Linked DNA regions of Anolis sagrei. The protein of the gene in region 4 interacts with the protein of the main gene of each other region in a pairwise test. Links are inferred from orthologs where the notes say so. Each region holds a gene or a part of one and is shown on either strand. Other genes may lie near its edges.

What was found.
Region 1: the proteins of CCHCR1 (region 4) and SAT1 interact in binary tests that used the Homo sapiens proteins (3 or more experiments, as listed by UniProt). The link is inferred for Anolis sagrei from reciprocal best matches to the Homo sapiens genes CCHCR1 and SAT1.
Region 2: the proteins of CCHCR1 (region 4) and SSX2IP interact in binary tests that used the Homo sapiens proteins (3 or more experiments, as listed by UniProt). The link is inferred for Anolis sagrei from reciprocal best matches to the Homo sapiens genes CCHCR1 and SSX2IP.
Region 3: the proteins of CCHCR1 (region 4) and USHBP1 interact in binary tests that used the Homo sapiens proteins (3 or more experiments, as listed by UniProt). The link is inferred for Anolis sagrei from reciprocal best matches to the Homo sapiens genes CCHCR1 and USHBP1.

What each region holds. Positions count from the first base shown.
Region 1 is NC_090023.1:86,790,825-86,798,629, forward strand, and holds the start of SAT1 (diamine acetyltransferase 1), read right to left. Parts: upstream 3,020-7,805; 5' UTR 2,833-3,019; coding exon 2,767-2,832; intron 1-2,766. UniProt on the Homo sapiens protein: Enzyme which catalyzes the acetylation of polyamines. Substrate specificity: norspermidine = spermidine >> spermine > N(1)-acetylspermine. This highly regulated enzyme allows a fine attenuation of the intracellular concentration of polyamines.
Region 2 is NC_090024.1:154,979,241-154,986,621, reverse strand, and holds the start of SSX2IP (afadin- and alpha-actinin-binding protein), read right to left. Parts: upstream 3,008-7,381; 5' UTR 2,843-3,007; intron 1-2,842. UniProt on the Homo sapiens protein: Belongs to an adhesion system, which plays a role in the organization of homotypic, interneuronal and heterotypic cell-cell adherens junctions (AJs).
Region 3 is NC_090034.1:29,449,696-29,457,428, reverse strand, and holds the start of USHBP1 (harmonin-binding protein USHBP1), read left to right. Parts: upstream 1-4,722; 5' UTR 4,723-4,792; coding exon 4,793-4,801; intron 4,802-5,338; coding exon 5,339-5,496; intron 5,497-7,733.
Region 4 is NC_090022.1:21,399,082-21,406,349, forward strand, and holds the start of CCHCR1 (coiled-coil alpha-helical rod protein 1), read right to left. Parts: upstream 3,003-7,268; 5' UTR 2,911-3,002; exon of another isoform or gene 2,870-2,910; intron 2,806-2,869; exon of another isoform or gene 2,564-2,805; intron 1,399-2,563; 5' UTR 1,382-1,398; coding exon 1,312-1,381; intron 180-1,311; coding exon 1-179. UniProt on the Homo sapiens protein: May be a regulator of keratinocyte proliferation or differentiation.

The DNA.
Region 1 (7,805 bases), on a different chromosome or scaffold from region 4:
AAACACGGTGGAACTTTGGTCTCTGTTCTGTGTGATTAATGTGTATTTTACAGAAATGCTTTGATCTGTGTCTTCTATGGAACTGAATTTTAATGTGTGTTTGTAGAATCTTTATAGTATTTGTTTGTTTTTAACTATGCTGTGACCCATCTTGAGCAGTGCTGAGAAGAGGATATGAAATAAAATTATTATTTTTCCAATAACTTGAGCTGCTTGTAATGTGAAGGGGGGAAAAAATCACCCAACGAATTAAGTTAAACAAACCTAGACTCAAGTTCACATTATGAAATGTTCCCTGTATGAAAGTCTATCTCCCCTGATCCTGAATCTGTTTGAGCCATATTTAGAAGAAGTCTGCCAAAGGTGAGATCTAATCTTTTACAAGTAGGCCATCTTGTCGTTCAACACAGTTCAAGGACACGAACTGTTGACTCGACAGGAACTGTTGACTAATTTTCCATGACGTTTAGCTTTGCAAAGAGGGTGGAGGCAGTACAGCCTCTTTCACAAGAGCAGGGAGGGGTTATTTTGTCAACGCAGAGGAGGCCAAAGTATCTGGGCCCAACAAGAAAAGCTGTTTATGGAACAAACAGTTCTCCATTTGTACACGTGTACCTTTGCACTCAGCATTCTGCAAGCAAGGCATTTTCAGTACAGCTGGCCTTCCATATCCACAGATTCAATCACCCACAGATTGAAAATGTATTTTTAAAAAAGAATCCAAAAAGGATAGCTTGATCTAGCCATTTTATTCAAGGAACACCATTACAGGAGAGATCAAGGGCCTACTTTACCAGCAGATGGGTTATGTGACTCCAGAGCTTACAGAAACATTGACCTGTAAGTGATATCACTGATGCCATCTACACAGACCATTTGATGCAGTTCAAAGTTCACTGTAAAGCAGCCAGCCTGGTATAGAACTCCCACAAATGTGTGCAAATAGCACTTGTGTGGAAGATATAGATGCAATAACTATAACAAACTCTTTCCCCCATCAATCCTGTTCCTTTTCTTCAGTGATATAGCAGATAATTATAGAATTCTAATCTACGAACCAGAGCTCCACCACCTCTAACCCCACCTTTACTTTCCTTGTGAGTGCGAATAATATTGTTTTTATTTTTTAATATTAAAAAAAGCTATATTAAAGGTAAAAGTTTCCCCTGACATTAAGTCTAGTCGTGTTTGACTCTGCAGGGTTGTGCTCATCTCCATTTTGGAGCCGGCATTGTCCGTGGACATCTCCAAGGTCATGCGGCCAGCATGACTGCATGGAGCTTCCTGTAGAAGTGGTATCTATTGATACCACTTCTCACTTTTGCATGTTTTCGAAATGCTAGTCTGGAAAAAGCTGGGGTTAATAGCAGGAGCTCATCCCACTCCCCAAATTCGAACCACCAACCTTTCGTTGAGCAGCTCAATGGTTTAACCCGCTACAACACCAGGGGCCCCTAATAAAAGTCATGGACACACCAAAAAAAGAGAGAAAAAGGAGATAAGAAAAAAGTATGCTAAAGAAAGTCCTTAATACTCTTTAACACTCTGTGATTTGTGTAATCACCCATCCAGGCCTCAAACTGGTTCCAGCATTTTCTATTCAGCCATCTGCGCTTCCAATACCAGTTTGGAACGGCATTAAATGCAAGTATAGATGGGGTCCAAGTTTCTCTGGGTCTAATGGGGCTCACTTCCAAGCAACTAGACATTCAAATGAAGAATGAGGAAGAGAACCACCCTCTCTAGCTGATACCAATACTTCCTTAAAGCAACTATTGAGGTGAGGGAAGTAAAAGGAGAACAAAGCCCTTCCCTTTTTGTTGTTTTTCAAAAGCAGTTTCCTTAGATGTGGGTCACAAGGCATCTGGAGTTAGCAGATTAAAGGGGGGGAAAAGGCAAATCAGCCATGTCAGCACTCATGATTGGGAGGAGATAACCTTGGACTCCAGCTCAAACTTTGACTTTACTTTCTGGCCACATATTTAGAAAAAAAAAACCTGTATCATCATAGCTGAGAATGGATGGGATTTGGGTTTTTGTAAGTCTTCGTGACAAGTTTCAGGTCTTGTAGTCACCAAAAAGCAAGCACCCCTTTTTCTGTGTATATATCAGGAACGGGTAAACTTTGGCCCTCCAGGTGTTTTGGACTTCAACTCCCACAATTCCTAACAGCCTGCTGGCTGTTAGGAATTGTGGGAGTTGAAGTCCAAAACACCTGGAGGGCCAAAGTTTACCAATGCCCCATATATATATATATATATATATATATATATATATATGTATGTATCAAAAATAAAAAAGAGGCTAAATGGGTATACTTGGGGTTTAACTTTATTATGTTGGGTGGATTCTTGTCTAATGTTTATTCTCATTGTTTTAATGTTTATTGCTTGTTTTATGAGTTTTAATTATTGTTGTATTTGTTATGCTGTTGTTTTATTTATGTATTGGGCCCCGGCCTCTTGTAAGCCGCACCGAGTCCTTCGGGAGATATGAACGGGGTATAAATAAAGGTTTATTATTATTATTATTACATCTGTCTTTATTGATTAGTTCCTGTCTGTCTGTCTACATCAGTGGTTCTCCACCTGTGGGTCCCCAGATGTTTTGGCCTTCAACTCCCAGAAATCCTAACAGCTGGTAAGCAGGCTGGGATTTCTGGGAGTTGTAGGCCAAAACACCTGGGAATTCTCAGGTTACGAACCGCTGACCTACACTGGTGTAGGCCTTCCGCTCCCTTCCGGGCCAGGCGAGAAGGCCAGATACCTTTATGAGGCGCAGGATGTCGGCGCAGTCCTCAGGCCGCGCGGCGCGGATAACGAACGAGTCCATTTCCGACGGCGTTTCCCTTTGCGTCCCCCGCCTCGATTGAGTCCCCGATAGTTGAAGAGCAGGAGGAGCAGTTTCTTCATTCGCGTCCTGGGCGCAGCGGCGGCGAGACACGGGTAGTCAGGCGGACAGCATCCCGTAACGTGGGCTTAGGAAGGAAAACAAAGCGACCGAATCCGGAAGTCTCTGTGCTGGGAACGTGAGGAGGGCCGCCGAATATATAGGCTGCTGCGGCCCCGCCCACTCGCCACCCTGTCCAATCAGCGCCAGGCAGCCTCCCCTCTCTTCTCGCGCACCGCCCCTGACGTCATCCTTCTAGGAAATGACTCACTCGGGCGGGAGGCGGAAGGCAAGGCGGCGCCTAGGGTGAGGTTGCCCCCTCCTGGGGAAGCCCTTTGCCTTCAACTACACTGAAGAAGTGATACAGGGCTCTTCCACACAACTGGACCAAATCCCACATTCTCTGCTTTGAACTGGAATATAGGGCAGTGTGGACTCAAATAACCCAGTTCAAAGCAGATATTGTGGGGTTTTCTGCCTTGATATTCTGGGTTATAGGGCTGTGTGGAAGGGCCCTGGGCCCTTCCACACAGCCCTATAACCCAGAATATCAAGGCAGAAAACCCCACAATATCTGCTTTGAACTGGGTTATCTGAGTCCACACCCAGATAATGTGGGATATCCTACCTTGATATTCTAGGATATAGGGCTGTGTGGAAGGGCCCTAATACTATACTCCATGCTACAAACTCATGTCTGGACTTGATTAATACTATAATTCAAAATACAAATGTGACTTAATGTAACACTGTTTTACTGTTTAATAAAAAGAGTTTTAAAAAGTATTCTTTGTCCCCTTCCACACAGCTGAATAAAATCCCACATTTTCTGCTTTGAACCTGGATATATGGCAGTATGGATTCAGATTGAAGCAGGTATTGCGGGATTTTCTGCCTTGATATTCGGGGTTATATGGCTGTGTGGAAAGGCCCTTAGGGTCTATAATACTCCTGTGGCTAATAATAATTCCAAAGACATTTGAATTTGCCATTCTATATAAGTCACTCTAAATGCTTTGGATGATACATGTTTTGAATTTTGTTTTATTTTAATTTGGAATTGGAATGCCTGTATTGATATGTCAGATACAAGATTTTATTATTTATCGTATCAGGGGCAAACCAAGGGTATAGTTGTGATGTATTTGAGAAAACACAATGTTTAAAAGCTTGGCATTATATTAAATGTCCTTTGACCAGTAACTGGCCACTTGGAGTGCCTCTGGTTTTGCTATAAGACAGGAGTCTTCAAACTAAGGCCCGGGGGCCAGATACATCCCTCCAAGGTCAATTACCCAGCCCTCGCTCAGAGTCAACCTAAGTCTGAAATGACTTGAAAGCACACAACAACAACAACAATCCTATCTCATCAGCCAATTTTTTTTTTGTCGTGTCAGGAGCAAGTCGCTTCTGGTGTGAGAGAATTGGCCGTCTGCAAGGACGTTGCCCAGGGGACCCCTGGATGATTTGATGTTTTTATCATTCTTGTGGAAGGCTTCTCTCATATCCCCACAAGGGAGCTGGAGCTGATAGAGGGAGCTCATCCGCCTCTCCCTAGATTCGAACCTGCGACCTGTCGGTCTTTAATCCTGCCGGCACAGGGGCTTAACCCACTGCGCCACCGGGGGCTCCTTCCCATTGAAATACTAATAAGTTTATATTTGTTAAAATTGTTCTTCATTTTATTGTATTGTTTTAAAGTGTTTTTTGCACTACAAATAAGATATATGCAGTGTGCATAAGAATTCATTCATGTTTTTTTCCCAAATTATAATTCGGCCTCCCAACAGTTTGAGGACCCCTGCTATAAGACTTTCTTATAGCAACACCAGATAAGGGATACTTAACCTGTACAACTTTATTGTTTCATTCTTAAACCGATAGTAAGACACGAGACTTCAGATCTACAAGCAGCTTAATGAAAATGTATAACCAGTGATTCACTGACCATCTGGATCATGTTCAGCGACATATTAGCTTTAGTTAGCTTTTCTCAAAAATAAAATGTGCTGAGCCTGAACAAATCTTTTCCGGTTGTCCTCAGCTGAGAAATAAAAGATCATACCAGCATTTTTCGCATTCTAAGACACTGATAATTGTAAGACACACACTAGTTTTATTACCACCAACAGAAAAAAAGGTTTGTTAATATATTTAAAACACCCTTGAGTCTAGGGGCCCTTCCACACAGCTATGTAACCCAGAATATCAAGGCAGAAAATCCCACAATATCTGTTTTGAACTGGATTATATGAGTCCAATTCAAAGATGATCCAGTTCAAAGCAGATAATCTGGATTTTATACAGCAGTGCAGAAGGGGCTTGGGGTCAGATCTTTGGATATAGGGCAGTGTAGATCTAATCTAGGTGAGCCAATTAACACACATTTAGGTGTCACAACAGGACTTTCCTGTTTCAGATAAACCAGGACAGTTTCACTGAGAACGATTTCATGGGTTAAACTGGCCACACGCCCACAAAGAATGCTTAATCCTCTCTACAAGCAGGCTATTGCCCCTGGATGACTTTACAGGAGGCTCCACCCCACGTCTTTCAAAATACAATTCATAGCAAAGGACTGAATCACCATACTGTGTAACGTACATAAGTGGCAATTTCCATTTCTTGTTCAGGATATTTATTCCTAATTCTGAGAAGTGAAAAAACAGTCCTCAGATACGTTTCTCTAAATTTTTATTTCCTGCCTGTACTAATGTAAGGGTTATCTAATCACAGTCAAAGATGTATAAGGTGAGAAAATACCAAAGATATAAATCCAGGGAGCACACCACTCCACTGTTGTGCCAGCTTCACTGGCTGCCTGTCCACTTCCGAGCACAATTCAGAGTGCTGGTCTTGGCCTATAAAGCCCTATACGGTTCTGGCCCAGCTTACTTGTCCGAATGTATCTCCCTTTACATCCCGCCTCATAGCTTAAGATCATCCGGGGAGGCCCTGCTCTCGGTCCCGCCAGCCTTGCAAAGGGACAAGGCCTTCTCGGCGGTGGCCCTATGCCTGTGGAACTCGCTCCCCAGCAAGATCAGGTTGGCTTCTTCCCTCCTTTCTTTTTAGGAAGAAGGTTAAGTCATGGCTCTGAGACCAGGCCTTTAGAAAGCAAGCATGACAGCACCTTGGATGTTGAACCGGACTGAACTTGGCTATATGGTTGATTACAATGTTTTTAACATGTTTTATCTTAATGTTTTATTTACTATTTTAAACTGTTGCTATTTGTGCTTATATTTGTATTGTACTGAGGCTTCGAATTGTGGCCGGTTTGTAAGCCACCCAGAGTCCCCCCTCGGAGGTTGAGAAAAGTGCAATAGAAATATTGGAAATAAATAATAATAAATAAATCAAATTAAGCTGTTATTGATAGACTGAACTGCCCAAGACATTTTGCCAACTGAGACAGAAGACAAACTGGGCTTAGCACAGCAGACAAAACCACTGTGCTGCGGAAACATCCCGCTGATCAAAAGGTCAGCAGTTTGATCCCGGGGCAGGGTTGAGCACCCACCGTCAGCCCCAGCTCACCTGCCCACCTAGCAGATTGAAAGCAGAAATGCGAGTAGATAAATAGGTACCGTTTTTAGTGGGGACATAATAAAAACCCCTTAAAGACATCATTGGGAGGTAGCTCCTCGGCATGGAAGATGGAGTGACAGCACCCTCCATGGCCAGAGTCGAGCACACCCTCCAGGTTGCTGGAAATAAGATGGGGAAAAACTGCCTTTTCCTCTGTTGTGTTGTCTGCCCTTGTTAGTTGTATAATCAGCATTTAATGCTTGCCATGTGTGTGTTCTGTAAGCTGCTCTAAGTTCCCTTCAGGGTGAGAAGAGTGGGATATAAATACTGTAAATAAATAAATACTGTCCTGTTACCAAATCCATTCAAAATAGAGTGCCCAAGCAGGATGGGCCAAACACAGTTTCTATTTTGGTGCCTCAAATGTAAAGATATATAACTGAATATCAAACTCAGGATTGTCCACATCATTGTATTACATGTTTCTATGTACGATTGTGAAGATAGTAATATCACTTGAAATAATGGTGAATGAAAGAGGAGAGTTCTGCAGATATCAATAACTGCCAAAAACAAAAACAAAAGAACCTAGAGTTGATCAAACCTGAACACTCCCTAGAAGCCATGAAGACAGTTATGCTTTGGGGGATAGCACGAGAAGATATGAATTCTTAGACAGGACATAATGCGTGGCAATAGGAAAAGGAGACTATGGATGCACCTACACTGTGCAATTAATGCAGTTTAACATCACATCACACTTGAGAAAAAAATCCACTTTAAATCCAGTTTCTGCCTCCTGCAGAATTCCGGGGTTTGTAGTTTAGTGAGGCTGTTAAAGGCCCTTCCCTAAACTACAAAGCCCAGAATTTTGCAGCAGGCAGAAACCGGATTATATGTGGATTTTTTCTCTAGTGTGATGCGGCCCTATTAGAATCATAGAATTGGAAGAGATTTCGTAGGCCATCCAGTCCAACCCAAAACCAAGGAGCAGGAAACTTCAACTGCCATGGCTCAATGCTATGGAATCATGGGAGTTGTAGTTTTCTGGTTGCTTTTTTTGCATGCTCTGCCAAATAGAGTTGGTGCCTCACCAAACTACAAATCCCAGGATTCTATGGGCATACAGATGTGGTTGTTGTTGTTCATTCGTTCAGTCGTCTCCGACTCTTTGTGACCTCATGGACCAGCCCACGCCGGAGCTCCCTGTCAGCCGTTACCACCCCCAGCTCCCTCAAGGTCATTCCAGTCACTTCAAGGATGCCATCCATCCATCTTGCCCTTGGTCGGCCCCTCTTCCTTTTGCCTTCCACTTTCCCCAGCATAATTGTCTTCTCTAGGCTTTCCTGTCTCCTCATGATGTGACCAAAGTACTTCAATTTTGTCTC
Region 2 (7,381 bases), on a different chromosome or scaffold from region 4:
CCCACAGAAAACCGTATTTAATAATCTAGAATGGATGTGGTCTATTCAATGCAATTTTCTGAATCAACACCCCAATAACTCCAGGAACTGACCTAAAAACGAAAACAAGAAGAAAAAAATTGTTTTTGGTTGGGCTGTGTTATTATCCATGGATTTTGTTAATGCTCAGCACTATATGAGGGTTTTGCAAGACCAGTCGCTCTTGTTGCAACGGTGTAGTAACAGTAAAGCCGCGGACCATATTTTAATTCTTGTGGACCACTGGTGGTCCACGGACCACAGGTGAAGAACCACTGCTCTAAATTAAATCACAAAATCAAAGTTTTGCTTTCTGGATTATTTTCTGAATATTTACAAGGCATGGACAGTTGAATCTGTGGATACAAAATCCATGGATATAGAGGGCTGACTATATATACACTCATAAATGCAACAGACTGCAAGTAAAATGTGCAAGCAACACAGGGCTTTATTTCCGCACATTGCCTAGACTGCTGTCCGCCCGGTGCCTTTTCACACTCCACCAACCAGCAGGTTCCTAACGCTTGCAGACAGCTCTGTTTTTAGAATGCCTTTTTCACCTCCCAATCAATGGCCTGCAATCCTTCCCATGCCTGCCACCCTCTCTAGCATTTATAACCTCCCTTTTGAGAAGCTCTTTCACATTCTGCCCCTCAATATAAACATATGGATTGTTACAAAAGTTGAAAATCAGGGGAAGCAAGAAACGTCAAGGGAGTCTGCAATTTGCAAAACCTAGAGGTCACTCATTCATATGTCTATGTGACGGCAGTTAACAAAACAATGCATAGGTTTAAGTTTGCTGTAAGTCAGACTTGACAGCAATTAACAAAAAGATGATAAAGATGAAGATTTTGGGAAACCAAGGGTATATCTGCACTCTACATTTAATGAAGTTTGACACCACTTCAACTACAATGGCTCAATACTATCAAAACCTGGGAATTGTAGTTTACAAGGCCTTTCACTGCTGAAAAGTGCTTTGTATCAAACTCCAATTCCCAGTATTCTATAGCACTGAGACATGGAAGTTCAAGTGGTGTCACACTGCGTGCGTTCTACAGTGTGCAGATGCAGCACAAGGAAGATCAAGAAGTTTTGCAAGACTTGAGCCAGGTGACTTGGGGTGCATCGACACTGGAGCATCAATCCAGTTTGACACCACTTGAACTGCCAGGGCTCTGTGCAATAGAGTCACAGGAGTCAGCGCTTTGCAAAGTCTTTGGCCTTCTCTGCCAAAGAGTGCTGTTGCCTTGCCAAATTACAACTCGCAGGATCTCATACTGTTGAGCAATAAAAGTGGTGTCAAGCTGCATTCATTCTATAGCATGTAGATGCACCTTGGAAGATCTCTCACACTGTCAGCAAACACAGAGGTGCATCTACACCAGGCATAGACAAACTTCGGCCCTCCAGGTGTTTGGACTTCAACACCCACAATTCCTAACAGCCTACCACAGTGGTTCTCAACTTGTGGCTACTTCACCTGGCTACTTCATCACACTAGAGAATGAATCCATTTTAAATCCGGTTTCTGCCTGCTGCAGAATTTTGGGGTTTGTAGTTTAGTGAGGCTGTTAAAGGCTCCTCCCTAAACTACAAACCCCAGAATTCTACAGGAGGCAGAAAATAGATTTAAAGTGGATTCATTCTCTAGTGTGATGAAGTAGCTGGAAGGCCGAAGTTTGCCCAAGTCTGATCTTCACTGTAGAATGAATGCTGTTTGACACCACTTTGATTGCTCAACAGCATAGAATCCTGCGAGTTGTAGTTGGGTGAGACACCGACACATTTTGGTAGAGAAGGAGAGGGATCTTGTGGAACTACATCTCCCGTGATTCCATAGAAGTGATCCATGGCAGTTCAATAGGGTGTAGTTTGACACCCTATTGAACTGCCATGGCTCACTTCTATGGAATCATGGGAGTGCTGGTGTCTCACTTAACTACAACTCCCAGGATTCCACACTGTTGAGCAATCACAGTAGTGTCGAACTGCATTAATTCTACAGTGTAGATCAGACATGGGCAGACTTTGGCCCTCCAGGTAGGCTGTTAGGAATTGTGGGAGTTGAAGTCCAAAACACCTGGAGGGCCAAAGTCTGCCTGTGCCTGGTGTAGATGCACCTCTTTGTTTACCGCTTCCTAAATATTCAGCTTTCATAACCATGCATTATGTTTTGTGTGAAGTGCTGCTTTTGTCAAACTGCATGGATTCTACAATGCAGGGTCCTCCTTGGGACTGAGGGGGGAATTACAAGGTAGTGAAATTTCCCCGCCTAAGGGGCCCTCCACTCAGCCCTATATCCCAGAATATCAAAGCAGAAATCCCACATTATCTGAGTGTGCACGCAGGGCCCTTCCACACAGTCCTATATCCCAGAATATCAAGGCTGGAAATCCCACATTATCTGAATGTGGACTCAGATAACCCAGTTTAAAGCAGATAATGTGGAATTTTTTGCTTTGATATTCTGGGATATAGGGCTGTGTGGAAGGGCCCAAAGAGTGCAGGTGCCTCACCAAAGTGCACCTCCCAGGCTTCCATAGCATGAAGCCATTGACAGCTAAAGTGCATTCATTCTACAGTGTAGACACACCAGCACACTCCTGACCCAGACTGTGTACGTGAGAACGCACCTGACTGTCTGGTATCTCACCCCCATGCAATGCCCCCTCTTCTACAGAAGTGTCCACCTCCTCCTCCTTTGCCCCCCTCCCAACCACCCACTGACTCGCATGCCAATGCCTCCCATTTCCCACGTGCTTCCTCCTCCCCTTTTCCCCTTTTTGCCCCAGAATAGCCAAGATCAAGTCCAGACCTGCTCCTGGGAAGCCGGGTGGGGGAGGGGACAGGGCACCCAGCCTCCCACCTGCTGCGGGAGGAAAGGAGGGGCGCCCCAACCTCTGCTGCCCAAAGCTCCGCTGCCTCTCTGCTTGCCTGCTTCCCTCCCTCCTACGCGCGCGCACACTCACGCACGCGCGCGCCCCGCGGCACCGCCGATCCCAGCAGCGCCCGCCTTCCAATCCCCCCTCCGCGCCCCGAGACTCCGCGCCCCCATTGGCCGCAGCGTTGCTAGGAGACCTTTCAACAAAGGGCCTGGCAGACGCGCCAGCTGCTTGGCCGGCTCTCCCCTCCTTCTTCACCTGTTGCAGCCATACTCTTCCCCCCCCCCCTCCTCTCCTGCAGCATTAATACCGTTTGACACCCCATTAACTGCCAGGGCTCAATGGGATAAGACCGTGGGAGTTGCAGTTTGGCAGAGAGGGCTAGTCCAGACCTTGTGAAATTACATCTCCCATGGTTCCATAGCACTGAACGATAGCAGTTACAGCAGGCATGGGCAAACTTTGGCCCTCCAGGTGTTTTGGAGTTCAGCTCCCACCATTCCTAACAGCCTGTTAGGAGCATGCAAAGAATCAGTGAGAGTGTGTATGTGCATCAAATAAAATAAGATGCATGAATGTGTGTGGCCAGGCAATGCCCTGGGAGATGGCTGAGCCTGGGACTTTTGGTTACTGTTGCATTTTTGTTCAGGCTTGAAGAGAAGCAGAAAGTTTGGAGTGTACTTCATGAGCTGCTAAAGGAGCTTATCCAAATGGACATAGAAATACTATTTTAAACCTCCCATAAAAGGAAATTATGCGAGTTAGTACAACTGATCACATTGTACATATGTCGTTCTGAACTAAGAAGAGTAAACTACTTGTTCTTTATTGGTCACCTGCGTGGCATATTTTCTAACTCTGGCAAGGCAATGGGTGGGTTGATCAAACGTGAACTACACGTGATTTATTTTACATTAGTAAAGGTAAAGGTAAAGGCTTTCCCCTGACATTAAGTCCAGTCGTGTCCGACTCTGGGGTTTGTTGTTCATCTCCATTTCTAAGCCAAAGAGCTGGCGTTGTCCGTAGCCACCTCCAAGGTCATGTGGCCAGCATGACTGCATAGAGCGCCCTTACCTTCCGCCGGAGCGGTACCTATTGATCTACTCACATTTGCATGTTTTCAAACGGCTATTGTGGCAGAAGCTGGGGCTGACAGTGGGAGCTCACGCCGCTCCCCAGATTCGAACCTGCGACCTTTCAGTCAACAAGTTCAGCAGCTCAGTGCTTTAAACCACTGCGCCAACGGGACTCCTTTATATTATTTTATTTTACATTACAACACAGAAAATACCTGGGGGGTCAAATTTTACCCATGCCTGAGTTACAGAGATTTCAAACTGCATTGATTGTACAATGTGGATGCACCCAGGGGAGGAGGATATACCAAATCTGGTGGTACCTTAAAACATTTCATATTATTTTTCAGTTTTGCTCCTCCCTGTAGTTAGGACTTCAGCTCTCAGAGTTTCCTACTATCAGCCAGACTGACTGGGGCTTCTGGGGGTTGAAGTCCAGAATATCTTGGAGTAAAAGTTAGAAAGCACTGTATAAAACAGGCATGGGCAAACTTCGGCCTCCCGGGTATTTTGGACTTCAACTCCCTCAATTCCTAACAGCCAGTAAGAAAAATGGAATCTTGGAGGAAAATTCTGAGACTGCCTTGGACCGCTGGATGATCAAACCAGACCATACTCAAGGAAATAATGCCTGGCTGCTCACTGGAAAGAAGGATATTACAGGCAAAGATGAAATACTTTGGCCACATAATGAGAAGACAGGAAAGTTTGGAGAAGATGTCTGCATATCTGCATGGGATGCCTTTTTACCGTCCCACCAAGGCGGTACCTATTGATCTATTCACATTGCATGCTTTTGTACTGCTAGGTTGGCAGAAGCTAGGGCTGCAGTCGGGAGCTCACCCCAACTTAAGGCTTTGTTAAGGCTTTGCTGCCAACCTTCCAGTCAGCAGATTTCCTGCAGCTAGCAGTTTAACTCACTGCGCTGCTGCGGCATGTGGGTGCCTAGCTATCTTGTAAAAGAAGGACAGTGGGGTCTTGTAGAACAATTATTTTATAGTCCACCTTATATCTAGCAGTTAGCATCAGCACATGACCTGTCTGTCCAGTTAGAAATCAAAACTTCTTTCTCTTGGTCAAAAGACATGGACTTTGCTCAGTTTCCTGTTGCTTCAATAAGCACAAACAGCACCCTGTGTTGACCAGCCTAAGGAACTGGCCAATCTCAAAGCAAAGGGCTCTTTGGGGTTGGGAATCTCTGCTGTGTTTTCTTAACTAGGCAGGCCTAGCAAGATGTAAGTTCAGAGGTGTCAAGTTAAAGCTCTCACTCCGGATCCTAGGCAGAATTCAGAGCAACCCACAACTTTGTTTAACATGGGTCAAGATTCTCAGTTAACCAGGTAGATACCAGATAAATGTAGTTTTTGGTCTCTCGAGTTACTATTCAAAACAAGCCAAACTCATAAAGGTAAAGGTAAATGTTTCCCCTTGGCAGTAAATCTAGTTGTGTCTGACTCTAAGGCGTGGTGCTCATCTCCATTTCTAAGCTGAAGAGCTGACATTGTCTATAGACACCTTCAAGGTCATGTGGCCGGCATGACCACTTGGAATGCTGTTACCTTCCCGCAGAAGCGGTACCCATTGATGTACCCACATTTGCATGTTTTCAAACTGCTAGGTTGGCAGAAGCTGGGGCTAACAGGTGGAGTTCACCCCGCTCTGCAGATTTGAACCACCAACCTTTCAGTCAGCAAGTTCAGCAGCTCAGTAATTTAACCCGCTGCACCACCAGGAGCTCATACTATACATTTTGTATTGACTTGATATTAATATTGAAAGTAAAACATAATGTAACACGGTTTTACTGTATTATATATGTATTTTAATTTTGAAAAAATTTTTCAATTTTTTTGCCAATTGCTTGAGAGAATCTACTGTATTTGTCTTACTAATCTTTATCAGCAAACATTCTAAATCTTAGGTTTCTGGCTGTCTGACTCCATTTTACAAGCAATCAATAATAATAAAAAATAAGTCAAACAATAAATTATATCTTCTTTATAATAAGGCAGCTCTCCCCTCTTATCCTTACCAAAAGCTTTTAAAGAAACCACTGGAGTTTTTGCCAATGGTGGGATTCTCTCTAAAACAGAGAAATAGACATTCTTGCTGCAGTGCAAGGGAAATCGTGCGAGATGCACTATTTTAAGCTCTGCACTTAATAGTCTTACACACACACATGCACACCCACACATCTCTCGCCTTGATTTGGACAAGTACATTAATTACCTCAATTGCTAGATACAGAAATATATCAAAGCAAAGAATAAAACTGTTTGCCAACTCTCAGATAAATAATTACAGGCTCAATAGATACATAAACATTCTCTGAACATACTCAGTTTTGGATTTCAAAGCCACTTATGCTGTAACACTGTTATGACTAGAGAAACAAAATCAAATGTATTGATTCTGCAAAATATATAAACAGACCTGTAAGTGAATTGCTTCATTTTAAGAAGCCATGGTCAAAAGGCCCCATCTAAATTGCAGTTTCAAACTGAGATTGCAAGATCTGAGCTGGGCAGTTGCTGACTGGGGATACTGATTCTGCAAAATATATAAACAGGCCTGCAAGTGAATTGCTTCATTTTAAGAAGCCATGGTCAACAGGCCCCATCTAAAATGCCGTTTCAAACTGCATCATACAGCAGTGTAGATGGAGCCTGAGGTTGCAAGATCTGAGCAGGGCTGTTGCTCACTGGGGATATTGGAGGTCTCCCATTCATAGGGTTACCATAAGTCATAGGCCATTTGAAGGCAAATCGCCACCACCCTAAATCTGAACTCAGGTGTCCAGCCCCAGGTGTGTTTTTGTACAATAGTTGAACATAACTCTCGCTCTGAAATAAGATTTTAGAGGTTTCTACCCTGATTTTAGAGATTAAGCATCCTTTATCTGGAATGCTCAAATATTCTGAAATCCAAAGCTTTCCACATGAGTGGATGAGATAGTGAAACCTTAGCTTTCTGATGGTTCAATGTACACAACTTTATTCAAGCCCAACATCATGTTGAGTATAAATTACCTTCAGGCTATGTCTATAAGATGTATGTGAAACATAAATGAATTGCGTGTTTAGACCTGGCCTCATCTTCAAGATATCTTATTATGCACAATATATGTAAATATTGTTATTTCAAATCCTGTTCCCCCAAATCAAAACACCTCTAATCCCAAGCATTTCGGATAAGAGATGCTTAACCTATACAAGGTTTTCCCTGACTTGTGAGGATATAAAAGGACCCAGAAGGCAAATCTTTGTTGCTGAAAGACCAGGGCACGTTTTGGCTTAAGGAAAGAGGATTACAGCATGTGTGAGGAATGTTGTATGCTGAGAATTTCTCAATCATTAAAAGGTCCGAGGAAGAAAAGAAACAGTAGGAGGTTCAGAG
Region 3 (7,733 bases), on a different chromosome or scaffold from region 4:
AGTGTCGTCAGCAAAGAATATGTCCAAAGGGTCAGAAAGGTTTTGAAGAGCAAATTAAATGGCAGAAATACGATCAAGGCTCTCAACCCCTGGGCCATCCCCGTCATTAGATACACTGCTGGGATTGTGAACTGGACACAAGCAGAGCTGGATGATCTGGACAGAAAAACAAGGAAACTGATGACAGCCCACTACTCATTACACCCGCGTAGAGATGTCATCGACAGACTTGACCTGCCCAGAAAATCAGGAGGCAAAGAGAGGGCTTCTGTAAGTGAAACAAAAGGTAGAAGAAGAGAAACACACACTGGCAGATTATGTGAAAGGCAGTCAAGAACAACAGTGAGGGAAGTCAATAGAATCATAGAATCATAGAATCAAAGAGTTGGAAGAGACCTCATGGGCCATCCAGTCCAACCCCCTGCCAAGAAGCAGGAATATTGCATTCAAATCACCCCTGACCAATGGCCATCCAGCCTCTGCTTAAAAGCTTCCAAAGAAGGAGCCTCCACCACACTCCAGGGCAGAGAGTTCCACTGCTGAACGGCTCTCACAGTCAGGAAGTTCTTCCTCATGTTCAGATGGAATCTCCTCTCTTGTAGTTTGAAGCCATTATTCCACGTCCTAGTCTCCAAGGAAGCAGAAAACAAGCTTGCTCCTTCCTCCCTGTGGCTTCCTCTCACATATTTATACATGGCTATCATATCTCCTCTCAGCCTTCTCTTCTTCAGGCTAAACATGCCCAGTTCCCTAAGCTGCTCCTCATAGGGCTTGTTCTCCAGACCCTTGATCATTTTAGTCGCCCTCCTCTGGACACATTCCAGCTTGTCAATATCTCTCTTGAATTGTGGTGCCCAGAATTGGACACAATATTCCAGATGTGGTCTAACCAAAGCAGAATAGAGGGGTAGCATGACTTCCCTAGATCTAGACACTATGCTCCTATTGATGCAGGCCAAAATCCCATTGGCTTTTTTTGCCGCCACATCACATTGTTGGCTCATGTTTAACTTGTTGTCCACGAGGACTCCAAGATCTTTTTCACACGTACTGCTCTCGAGCCAGGCGTCACCCATTCTGTATCTTTGCATTTCATTTTTTCTGCCAAAGTGGAATATCTTACATTTGTCACTGTTGAACTTCATTTTGTTAGTTTTGGCCCATCTCTCTAATCTGTCAAGATCATTTTGAATTCTGCTCCTGTCCTCTGGACTATTGGCTATGCCTCCCAATTTGGTGTCATCTGCAAACTTGATGATCATGCCTTCTAGCCCTTCATCTAAGTCATTAATAAAGATGTTGAACAGGACCGGGCCCAGGACGGAACCCTGCGGCACTCCACTTGTCACTTCTTTCCAAGATGAAGAGGAAGCATTAGTGAGCACTCTCTGTGTTCGTCCACTTAACCAATTACAGATCCACCTCACCGTAGTTTTGCCTAGCCCACATTGGACTAGTGTGTAGTCAACTGCTTCAAGTGCCAAAGACAAAGAGTGAAAACACAATCCAAAGCAGAAGAGAAAACTGGCAAAAGAAGGCTCTCCATGGACAGGTTCAAGCAAAAATGGAGAGCCAAATTGACAAAGAAAAACATGGCTGTGGCTCACAAATGGAACTCTGAAAAAGGAGACGACGGAGGGCCTGATTCTGGCAGCCCAAGAACAAGCCATTTGAACCAACGCCACCAAAGCCAGAATTGAAAAGCTGACAACAGATCCCAAGTGTAGACTCTGCAAGGAAGCAGATGAAACAACAGATCACAACCTCAGCTGCTGCAAGAAGATTGCGCAGACAGACTACAAGCAGAGGCACAACACCGTTGCTCAGATGATTAATTGGAACTTGTGCCACAAAAACCATCTGCCTGCAACAAACTGGTGGGATCACAAGCCGGAAAAGGTTACAGAGAATGAACACACCAAACTCCTCTGGGACTTCTGGATTCAGACAGACAAAGTTTTGGAGCGTAATACTCTTGACCTCAATCGTGTTAAAAAAAAAGTATGGATTGTCGATGTCGCAATCCCAGGTGACAGCAGGATTGCAGAGAAACAACTGGAAATGCTGGCACAATATGAGGATTTAAAAATCGAACTGCAAAGACTCTGGCACAAGCCAGTCAAGGTGGTCTCAGTGGTGATCGGCACACTGGGTGCAGTGACTAAAGACCTTGGCCTGCATTTAAACAAAATAGGCACTGACAAAATTACCATCTGCCAGCTGCAGAAGGCCACCCTACTGGGATCTGCACGCATTATTCGCAGATACATCACACACTCCTAGACAGTTGGGAAGTGTCTGACGTGTGATCCAATGCAACAGCCAACAGAGTGTCTGCTGTGGACCCATCTTGTTGTGTTTCCAATAATAATAATAACAACAACTGAAACAGCCTTGGTCGTCTTAGTGGATGATCTGTATAGGGAACTGGACAAGGGGAGTGTGTCCCTGTTGGTTCTCCTGGACCTCTCAGCGGCCTTCGATACCGTAGACCACGGTATCCTGGAACGCCTGTTGGGAATGGGGCTTGGATGCATTGTTCTGCAGTGGCTCTGGTCCTTCCTGGAAGGTCATTCTCAGAAGGTGTTACTGACACCTGCTCAGCCCCACAGCCATTGTCTTGTGGGGTCCCACAGGGCTCAGTATTGTCCCCATGTTGTTTAACATCTACATGAAGCCACTGGGAGAGATGCCATCTGTATGCAGATGACGTCCAACTATATCACTCTTTTCCACCTGCTACTAAGGAGGCTGTTCAGGTCCTGAACCAGTGCTTGGCAGCTGTGATGATCTGAATGAGAGCAAACAAACTGAAACTGAATCCAGACAAGACAGAGGTGCTCCTGGTCAGTCACAAGGCCAAACAGGGTATAGGGTTATGGCCTGTGTTGGACAGGGTCACACTTCCCCTGAAAACGCAGATTCGCAGTTTGGGAGTTCTCCTGGATTCCTTGATAGTAATATAATATAATAATAATAATAATAATAATAATAATATAGAATTGGAGGAGGCCCCAGGCAGAAAGACACAAGCCATGCCCTCCTGGAAGCTCTGAAATATAACAACAACAACAATAATAATATAATGATAAAATTAGAATTATAATTATAGACAGGAAGATATCATCCAAGCCCTCCCAACAAATGGTTATCTAGTCTCTGCATAATATAATAATAATAATAATAATAATAATCACCATAATTTTATTATGATTATTATTATTATTAGTTTCCTTTTCTAATGGTGGAGATTGATCTTGCCATAACAAATGCAAGGAAATACAATGTGCTTTCCCCCTATAGGGCAGGTTGATTAACAATAATAACAATAACAATAATAATAACAGTGTTCATGCCCTTTCCCCATATTAGCAGCTATGCATTGCACCATAAACCTATACATAAACCTTTTTCTCACCTTTAAGCGGCTAGATGCAGACTCTTTCCCTTTGCAAACCGAGCCGGAAGTGGGTAGGAGGGAGGGCATTCCTTTGGCCCCGCCCTTCCGGCGCAAGGCCTTCTGGGATTTGTAGTTTCCCTGCCAAAAACCTAAGCCTCTTGCCCAAATCAAGTCAATTTTTTTTAAAAGGGAAATATTACTTTAATAATACTTTATTAATATATTATATTATTAATCAATTTCATTATATTGTTTTAGATACGTTTTGATTATACTATATTAGATATATCTATATCTATACACATAATAAAAGTGAAAATCTGTATATGTGATTTATGGGAGTTATAGTTCACCTGCATCCATACAAACTGTGACCCCCACCGTGAATGGACCGGGACCACATTTGGCACAGAGAAGCCATCTGAACATTTTGGAGACGTTTGGGGGAAATTGACCTTGATTTTGGGAATTGTAGTTCACCTGCATCCAGTCATACTGCGACCCCCACCGATAATGGACCAGGACCACACTTGGCACAGAGAAACCCCATGACCACGTGGACATACTGGAGAAGTTTGGGGGGAAATTGACCTTGATTTATGGGAGTTATAGTTCACCTACATCCATACAAACTGTGACCCCCACTGACAATGGACGGGAGACCAAACTTCACACAGAGAAGCCCCATGACCAACTGAACATACTACAGGGTTTTGTGGAAATTGACCTTGATTTTGAGAATTGTAGTTCGCTCTTATCCAGAAAACACTGAATCCAGCCAATGTCGGATCCAGACCAAACTTTGCAGTGCGTACAGGTGGGGTTTGGCGGCGATTGACCCACGATTCTGGGAGTTTTCGTTTGCCCTTATCCAGAGAGCACTGAACGCAGCCGACGTCAGATCTGGGCCAAACCTGGCACACAAGCCCAACATGGCTAACTTTGAATACTGGTGGGGCTTGGGGTAATTGGCCCACGATTTTGGGAACTGCAGTTCACCCACACCCTTATGCATTTTCTAATGGGAGCATTCATAAAAAAACAACAGGAAAGACTGGCTTTTTTCTAATAAATAATGTTACTAATTAACTAAATGATATGACCTAACATCCCAAAACAACCAATGCCCTTTTCAAATCACCCGGGCACTGCCGGGACCCCAAGCTAGTAATAAATATAATATAGTAATAATAAATACATAAGTAAATACTTCCACCCCAGTTTCTTTAGGGTTAAAGCACTGGTCCGGATATAGCTGGCTTCCTTCCTCTCTGGAAAAACAGGAAGGCCTTTTCTTTATTATTATTTTTATGGGAATGAACAGGAACCAAAGGGCTGGGCTTTGGCTTATTTTGATGCTGATGCTGCCTTTGGAGCCACTTTTTGGACAGAATGGAGCAGGTAAGGGCCACATTCTCTCAGCCTCTGAGCAGTATAGTCCCTATAATATTATTGTATTATTATTATTATATAATAGGGGCTGTGTTGGCGCAGCAGGTTAAACCACTAAGCTGCAGAACTTGCTGACTAGAAGGTTGGCAGTTCAAATCTGCGGGATGCGGTGAGCTCCCGTCGTTAGCCCCAGCTCCTGCCAACCTAGCAGTTCGAAACCATGCAAATGTGAGTAGAACAATAGGTACTGCTCCAGCAGGAAGGTAATGGCACTCCATGCAGTCATGCCAGCCACATGACCGTGGAGGCGTCTGAGGACAATGCCAGCTCTTTGGCTTTGAAATGGAGATGAGCACCACACCCTAGAGTCGGACATGACAAGACTTAATGTCAAGTGAAAACCTTTACTTTTTTATTTTTATATAATAGGACCGTTGCTTGGATGCAGCTCTTGCCCAGGTCAAGCACACACCTTGGATCCATAGTAGCCACACTTGAGGCCTTTGCCTGCCATTGATTCAACTCATTTTGTTTCCCGAAACGCAGGAAGGATCCAGGCCTGGAGGTGACAAAGGATCCCCCGAAAAGGCTTTGCCACCAGATGAGCGAGAAGCCCTTCGCTGCGAGGAGCACATCACGGCACTGCTAGTGACGGTGTCCCGCCTTCACGGACACATCCAATGCCTCCAGCGGGAGAAAGACAGGTAACTGGTCGCTGTCACCTTGTCTGTTCGAAGCAATTGTGGTGTTGCAGTGAGCAGCCTTGCAGTTGCAGAGTCAATCAGTGAGGGTATCTGCATAGAGATAGCCTGGCCTCTGTTGCCTGGAAACACCCTCTGCTGGGGAGCTGTCCAGTGTGTGCTTGATGTCTGGAGTTTCCCTATTTTAAAGCTAGTGTGAATGTTGCAATTAGCAACCTTGAATTAGCGTTGAGGAAACTTGCAGCTGCAAAGTCAATCAGTGAGGGTGTCTGCATAGAGGCAGTGAAGCAAGTGGAGTGTGTGTATATCCCTGTGGAATAATGTCCAGGTTAGGAAAAAGAATCCTTGTCTCTTTGAAGCAAGTGTGGATGTTGCAAGTAGCAAGATTGAACAGCACTGAGTAGCCTTGCAGTTGCAAAGTCAATCAGTGAGGGTGTCTGCACAGAGGCAGTGAAGCAAGTGGAGTGTGTGCATATCCCTATAGAATAATGTCCAGGGTGGGAAAAAGAACCTTTGTCTCTTTGAAGCAAGTGTGGATGTTGCAAGTAGCAAGCTTGAATAGCATTGAGTAGCCTTGAAGTTACAAAGTCAATCAGTGAGGGTATCTGAATAGAGGTAGTGAAGCAAGTGGAATGTGTGTGTGTGTATGTATGTGTATGTATATGTATGTATGTATGTATGTGTATATATATATATATAGCCCCCTGTGGAATGATATCCAGGGAGGGAGAAAGAACCTTCTCTGTTTCAAGCTAGTGTGACTGTTCCAATTAGCATTGATAGTAGCCTTGCAGCTGCAAAGTCAATCAGTGAGGGTCTCTGCCTAGAGGGTGCCTCCAGGCATCAAAGACCAGGCTACCTCACCCTGACCCAGGCTTGAACTACCAATCTTTTGATCAGCAAGATTTTTTGCAGCTGGTGGTTTAACCCGCTGTGCTAAAACCTGGCCCTAACTTGGATGTTATCCTGTTTTTGAAGATTTAGTCGGGTATGTTCTAGATCAGTGTTTCTCAACCTGGGGGTCGGGACCCCTGGAGGGATCGCGAGGGGGTGTCAGAGGGGTCACCAAAGACCATCCTGAAAACACAGTATTTTCTGTTGGACATTGAGGTTCTGTGTGGGAAGTTTGGCCCAATTCAATTGTTGGTAGGGTTCAGAATGCTCTTTGATTGTAGGTTAACTATAAATCCCAGCAACTACAACTCCCAAATGCCATGGTCTGTTTCCCCCAAACTCATCAGTGTTCACATTTGGGCATATTGAGAATTCATGCAAATGGTGCCGAGAGCCCCCGTCCAGTAACTGGTCTATACTGCAGCGGAGAGTTCCGCAGTTCCTGGAAGCCGAAATTGAAAAAAAACTGATGAAATGTGCCCCAACAAACAGCTCAAGGCCAGGACTGCTTTCAGCTTTCATCATTTTCCCTCTAGCCCTGACTTTGTATCTAATCTCTAATAAGGGTACTTGAGTTATAGTTCCCCAAGGACCGAGCGATGGATCTTGTTATTTATCAACTCAGCGCCCATCTGCTAACTTCTACCAGAAGAAAATGACTCTCTGCTGCTTGCTTTGAACTGCAAGCCACCTCCGTTTCCACGAGCCTCCCTCAGAAACCTGGGACTTCAAGTTTTCAAATAAAAAATCAATTATTTTATTAAATAATTAAGATGTGGGGTGGAAATGGGGTTTTTCTTACATGAACTTTGTATAAATAATATTGCATGAAATATCGTCTGCCTTCCCGCCTTTCCCCTTGACTTTTGCCCTAAAAGAAGTGACCAAGGACCGTTGCAATGCCTGAGGGAGGACCCCTGCCTCCCTCGAAACTCATTTTGATTATCTCACATCAGCATGGACAATAGCATATTTGGGATTTCCTTTCTCGCTCTCTGAGTCGGTCTGGCGAGACGAGGAAGTCTATATGGACATTATGATTGATTTACAAAGGGCAGGGTCGACCCCCCTGAGGTCCCCTGCCCCGGTCCTGTTTGTTTCCCCACCAAAACCCATCAAGGACAGGAAAGCCTTTCTTGTGGAAATCACACCTAGCCGGCTCAGGACAAAAGCCTCACATTCCAGCTGGCCGGCTATCAGTAATCCCATCATTTCCCCCATTGTCCGCGGTCGGCCCGCCTCCTCTTTTCTGATTCGTCCATCCTCAGAAGCGAGAGAAGCACGCCGATTGGCCCTCCAGAGGCGGAGAAGCTTGCTGATTGGCCCAGGGCAGGGCGGGCCGCCAA
Region 4 (7,268 bases):
CTTCTCTCCTTTTTTGCTCCATCTCTGGAGTTCATCCTTCAGCCGTTGGTTTTCCCATTTGAGTTCGGCTGCCTCCCAATTAGACTGCGAGGTGGCACACCAAGGCAGCCCCACAGGCCCTGGCAAAGGAGGGGCTGACCGGCTTTGGAAATGGGATGGTGGGATCAGCCCTCTGGGCTCTACATAAAAAACAGATGAACACCAAAGGCAGAGATGGACATATAAGTACTGAAAATTCAGACAATTGGATTTTATATTGGAGGGAACTTAGGGATACAACAGATCAGTATTCTAGGGGTTCATACTATGACAGATTCTGTCCGTTCAATCCACATTCTTGCAGAATTTGGTCAATGGTAAAAAATATTTACTGTAGTATACTTTCAATGAACCAGCACCCATGGGGATTAGTAGATGCTGGATAAACATAGTTTCTGGTTGCTTGAGAGTTACTATTAGAACTAGGCCTAACTACTGTATATTGTATATTGATTGTTATGATTGTTTTAACTGTGATAATTGTTTTAACTATGGTTTTGTACACTATGTATAATTTTTGTACAGGCATCGAATTGTGCCTTTTGTAAGCCACCCTGAGTCCCCCCTCGGGGGTTGAGAAGGGCGGGGTAAAAGTACCCGAAATAAATAAATAAATACTGTATTAGTATATCCTGCCTTTCTCCCTGTGGGGACTTAAATTAGAAAGGGGGGCAGAAGACAGTTCCACCTTGTCTCCTGTGCTATTCTAATAATAAAATATAATAAATATAATATAATATAGTGTATATACATATATTTATAATATTATAATGTAATGCAATATAATGTAATACTATAATTATATATGTATATTACATGTAATATTACTAATATTATTACAATACAATGTTATAGTACAATATAGTAATATTTAATACTGATATCGTATTATGCTAATAATATATATTGTATGTATATATATCTTGTAAACCGCTCTGAGTCCCCTTTGGGGTAAATGTCGTAAATACACTGTAGAAATAATGAGTTTGACACAACTAACTACCGGACCCACTGCTACGGAATCCTCGGAATTGTAGGCACCTTCTACACTGCTATATAAAATCCAGATTATCTGCTTTGATAATCTGGATTATATGGCATTATATAAGCATCTCTTCCAAAGATTCCACAGCACTGAAATTCATGAATACTATAGTGTAGATTCCATATGTGACACTGACAAGCACAGGACACTCATACTCCCAACTTCCCAAATAACAAAATCAATATTAACACACAAAGAAGCGATCTCAAATGCGCTCCTTTTTTTACCAGTGGATCTTGGCACTCCGAACGCAGCAGGAGGCTCCAGCTGTTTGTCTGAATCTTTCCTTCTATCCATGGCTCCGAATCATAATCCTTCAGAAATACATTCACAGAAGTTACAATTACAGGACCCACCACCAAAAAGAGAATAATAATAATAATATTGCTCCCTAGAAATCTTGAGATCCTCCAGCACAATTCTATGAACAATTTCTACTGAAAGCAGACTATAAAATAGCACCAAGGCCCCTTCTACACTGTCATATAATCTACATTATTGGTTTTGAACTGGATTATATGGCAGTGTAGACCAGGCATGGGCAAACTTTGGCCCTCCAGGTGTTTTGGACTTCAACTCCCACAATTCCTAACAGCCTACCGGCTGTTAGGAATTTGTGGGAGTTGAAGTCCAAAACACCTGGAGGGCCGAAGTTCACCCATGCCTGGTCTACACTGCCATATAATCCAGTTCAAAGCAGATAAACTGCATTTTATATGGCATTGTAGAAAGGGCCAAAATATGGATCTCTCAGGTGTCTGGCACTCATGGGGGTTGGTAGATTCTGGTTGCTTGGGAGTGCCTATTAAAAATAGGACTAACTAATACTATACCCCGTACTATACCATAAAGGTAAAGGTAAAGGTAGTCCCCTGACATTAAGTCCAGTCATGTCTGACTCTGGGGTGTGGTGCTCATCTCCATTTCTAAGCCGAGGAGCCAGCGTTGTCCGTAGACACCTCCAAGGTCATGTGGCCGGCATGACTGCATGGAGCGCCGTTATACCATACTATACCATACCATACACTTTAAATTTACTTGATATTAATATTGAAATGCAATAGTTAAAAGCAAATCAGGACAAATAAAATCTTAATATATTGCGTTATTATAAAAACAGCTATGTGACTGCACTATGCAATGTTGTTTTAAAAGTTTTGCTGGTTGCTTGAGAGTTCTGCTATCTGAAATTCTGGTTAATTGAGAGTCTACTATATTTGCATTCCATTTTACAGGTTGAGCATTCTTTTATTTCACATCCAATATCCTAGAGATCATTTTATACAATATTGTATATGTATATAAGGCATATATATATCTATATCTGAATTTCATGATGAGGTTTAGTTCTCCTCTCCAAGTTAATATCACTATGGAAATCAAAGTATTCCAAAATCTGGAAGGAAAAAAAATGCAAAATATTTTGGATAAGGAAGACTTTATCTGTGCTCTAGAGCTATTAATTTTTGTGTTACTTACCAATTGTTTCATGCACAAAATGATTAAAAAGTATTGGTTAACATTAGCTGCAGGCTATGATTCAAAGATATATGTCTAACAAGCAATTTTAATGCTTAAGAAGCCAGTCCTAACATGATCCTCTTTCTTCTTTTGCATTTCACAAGTCAGTTGGGTTTCTTTAGCACAAGCTGCTTTCTAAATCCTTTCTTTTACTCTTTAGAGCCCCCCTTTTCCCTTATAAATTGGTTCGTTCCGCTTCCCCCCTTTTCCTCCTTCTCATTGGTTCGCTCCGCCCCCCCCCCTTTTCTTTTTACATGAATCCACCGTTCCGAACCCTCCATCAACAGTCACTAGCAGCAACCCACCGACGTCGAACTGCGCATGCGCCAAACTCTCGCGTCCCAAGCTCCAACGGAGAGAATAGAAACCACACCGATCCGAAGAGAACGGAAAGATATGGAACGGTGACGTCACGAGATAGGCGGGACGAATGTTAGACACACCCCCTCGCGGTGTCTCAGCCAATCAGATAACGGGACAAGCTCTTTGTTGTTTAGAACGGGTTTTTTTTTCCTCCCCGCTTCAAAAGGGCGCGCGAAGAATGAGGACACGCCCCTTTTCCTCAAATCGACCAATCAGCGGATTGGATCCGAAAAAGCGGTAGAAACTTGTTTAGGTTGCCCATTAAGTGCATCTACACTATAGAATGAATGCAATTCAACACAATTTTAACTCCCAGGGCTCAATTACTATGGAATCCTTTAAGTTACAGATTGATGAAGCACAATTACTTTTTGGCAGAAGAGGCTCAAGACCTTATAAAACTACAGCTCCCATAATTTCATAGCATTGAGCCATGGCAGTTCAAGGGGTGTCAAAGTGCAGTCATTCTACAGTATAGATACACCCTAACTTTTAGTATCATAGAATCAAAGAGTTGGAAGAGACATCATGGGCCATCCAGTCCAACCCCATTCTGCCAAGAAGCAGGAATATTGCATTCAAAGCACCCCTGACAGATGGCCATCCAGCCTCTGTTTAAAAGCTTCCAAAGCAGGAGCCTCCACCACACTCTGGGGCAGAGAGTTCCACTGCTGAACGGCTCTCACAGTCAGGAAGTTCATCCTCATGTTCAGATGGAGTTCAACAAATGCACAGCCCATGAATATAAAGAGAAGCCTATTTCCAATTTTCTGCTGTAATGTAGAATCATAGCACTATAATTATATATTGTGTCATGGTACTGGATTTTTTAATAGTGGGCTGCACTATTTTTGCTCCATTGAAACTCATATAGAGCATTTTGTTGAATAATTGTCTCAATCCTCTTTACAAAGAAGAAAAGAAGGTCCTCTCCTAGTTTGCAGAATGCTTTGCAAATCATGCTGCTGTACTTGTTGTTCATTCGTTCAGTCGTCTCCGACTCTTCGTGACCTCATGGACCAGCCCACACCAGAGCTCCCTGTCAGTCGCCACCACCCACAGCTCCTTCAAGGTCAATCCAGTCACTTCAAGGATGCCATCCATCCATCTTGCCCTTGTTCGGCCCCTCTTCCTTTTGCCTTCCACTTTCCCCAGCATAATTGTCTTCTCCAGGCTTTGCTGTCTCCTCATGATGTGGTCAAAGTACTTCAGCTTTGTCTCTAGTATCCTTCCCTCCAATGAGCAGTCGGGCTTTATTTCCTGGAGGATGGACTGGTTGGATCTTCTCGCAGTCCAAGGCACTCTCAGCACTTTCCTCCAACACCACAGTTCAAAAGCATCGATCTTCCTTCGCTCAGCCCTAAGGTCCAGCTCTCACATCCGTAGGTTACTACAGGGAATACCATGGCTTTGACTAGGCGGATCTTTGTTGCCAGTCTGATGTCTCTACTCTTTACTATTTTATCGAGACTGGACATTGCTCTCCTCCCAAGAAGTAAGCGTCTTCTGATTTCCTGGCCACAGTCTGCATCTGCAGTAATCTTTGCGCCTAGAAATACAAAGTCTGTCACGGCCTCCACGTTTTCTCCCTCTATTTTCCAGTTGTCAATCATTCTTGTTGCCATAATCTTGGTTTTTTTGACGTTTAGCTGCAACCCGGCTTTTGCGCTTTCTTCTTTCACCTTGATTAGAAGGCTCCTCAGCTCCTCCTCGCTTTCGGCCATCAGAGTGGTGTCATCTGCATATCTGAGGTTGTTAATGTTTCTTCCAGCAATTTTCACCCCAGCTTTGCATTCATCAAGCCCCGCACATCGCATGAAGTGTTCTGCATACAAGTTAAAAAGGTTGGGTGAGAGTATGAAGCCTTGCCGTACGCCTTTCCCAATCTTGAACCAGTCTGTTGTTCTGTGGTCAGTTCTGACTGTTGCGACTTGGTCCTTGCTTTAGGCTAGGCTGAGGGAATCCCTTCCCCCCTGACACCTCTATCTATATGTTCACTCACTCTCTTACTCTCTTATTGCAGCTGCTGAGTGGGAGGGAACCAGACTACCAACCTGGTACTTTCCAACAGTCACTGAGAGGCCCTCCCGCCATCTTTAACTGCCATTCCACCGGGCCGCTGAGTGGGAGGAAGCCAAACTACCAACCAAGTAATTTCCAACAGCTGCTGAGAAGCCCTCCCACCATCTTTAACCTCCATTCTTCCAGCCGCTGAGTGGAAGGGAGTGTTGTGGCTCAGCTTGATTCTGAGCCTGAAACTGAACCCTCTTGTGAGCCTGAAATGTTCCCTGATGAAGAGGATGATGGGATTCAGATTTTTGGTCCTGTTCCTATGCCTTTGTCTGCACCTCTTGCAGACACTTCACCAGAGGAGTCAACAAGTCAGTTCTCATGGGAAAAGAATGCCAGCGAATTAGATAACGACCAGGGGCAGAGACCTTCACTTGCTCAGCCGTCTCATGCTGATACTGATAGAGAAGAGAGCAGCCTTGATAGTGATTAAATGAGCAGGCAGGAATGTTTAGATTGGTGGGTCAGGAGGAGTTTGCGGCTAGCCAGCAAGAAAGAAGCTAGGTCGATGAAAGGTCATCGAAATGCTTTCATGTTGGCGAGAGCGTAACGTTTTCTTGTTCGCAAAAGGTATTTAGGCTTCTGGTTAACAAGGGGAATGTGTCAGTTCATCGTGGCTTTTAGCACGAAGGTTTCTATGGAATAACCTTGGCTCTAAAGCAGCATGCTCTGGGCTTCCTGAATCGTGATTCTTGGGACTTGTGTTTCACTGTTTTTACCAAGGACTCTTGTTTGACCATTGCTTAAAGGATTATGTTTTATGTTCTTACCTGAGGACCTTTGGAATTGTGTTTTGCATTTAACCTTTGTCTTTGGAACTCTGTATTGCTTACTCTATGTTTTGACTTGGGTTTTTGCCTCAATAAACTACAAAATCTACAGCTCTTGTGTGGTAGTATTTGGGAACAAGGTGAAGCCTACTCTGAGTTGCAACAGGGAGCCAGACTACCAACCAGGCACTCTCTATCAGCTGCCGAGAAGCCCTTCCGCCATCTTTAACTGCCATTCCACCGGCTGCTGAGTGGGAGGGAGCCAGACTACCAACCAGGCACTCTAGCAACCGCCGAGGAGCCCTCCTGCCATCTTTAACTGCCATTCCACCAGTCGTTGAGTGAAAGGGAGCCAGACTACCAACCAGGTGCTTTCCAATAGCCACTGAGAGGCCCTTCCACCATCTTTAACTGCCATTCCACCAGCTACTGAGTGCGAGGGAACCAGGCTACCAACCAGGTACTTTCCAATAGCTGCTGAGAGGCCCTCCCACCATCTTTAACTGGCATTCCACCGGCCGCTGGGTGGGAGGGAGCCAGACTACCAACCAGGCACTCTAGCAACTGCCGAGGAGCCTTCCTGCCATCTTTAACTGCCATTCCACCAGTCGCTGAATGGAAGGGAGCCAGACTATCAACCAGGTACTTTCCAACAGCTGCTGAGAGGCCCTCCCGCCATCTTTAACTGCCATTCTACCAGCCGCTGAATGGGAGGGAGACAGACTACCAACCAGGCACTCTCTAGCAACCGCCGAGGAGCCCTCCCGCCATCTTTAACTGCCATTCCACCGGCTACTGTGTGACGGCGCGAGTGGCACCACCTATGTCTGTAGAACTGTTAGTTGCAAGATTTAAACTGTTGTATCATGCTTAATTCTGCTTTTTTACCCTGCTTATGTATAGTTGGATTGATTGGTTATTTATATTTGTCAATCAGTGTTGTTTGCACCAGTTGAATTGCTTTTTCAGCTCAGTTGTTTGGCTCCACCTCTTCCTGGCGGAGGGGAGTGCTTCCCTTTTTTATTCCACCTTCAGATTTTCTACGAGATGGACATGAGTAAGAGACTTGGCTCTAAAAGCCCCTGATTAAATTACCTCTCAGCACCAATTCTGAGGTTTTTACCCTTGAGACTTATGCTTCATGTTCAGACCAACCTGAACGACATTGGGAAGTCTCAAGCACCTTCAAGCCAGTTCTTTTGGCACCAGAGGAAGACCCTGAGTCTTCAAACTGAGGTTGTGGATTGCTCCGGCATTTACAGCCATTGAGAAAGAGGGACCTGGAAAAGCTTCTCAGCTGCAAACACCTTGGACCCAAGACAACCAGAGACTGTAATGTATATTTTCCTTCCCCCCCTTTGAAACTTCCAGCTTATTGCCTTAAAGAGATAACTCTTTGTGAACAATAAAACTTATTTTGAGTTATCTACAGTGTTTGGGTCTTTGAGAAATCCAGTTTC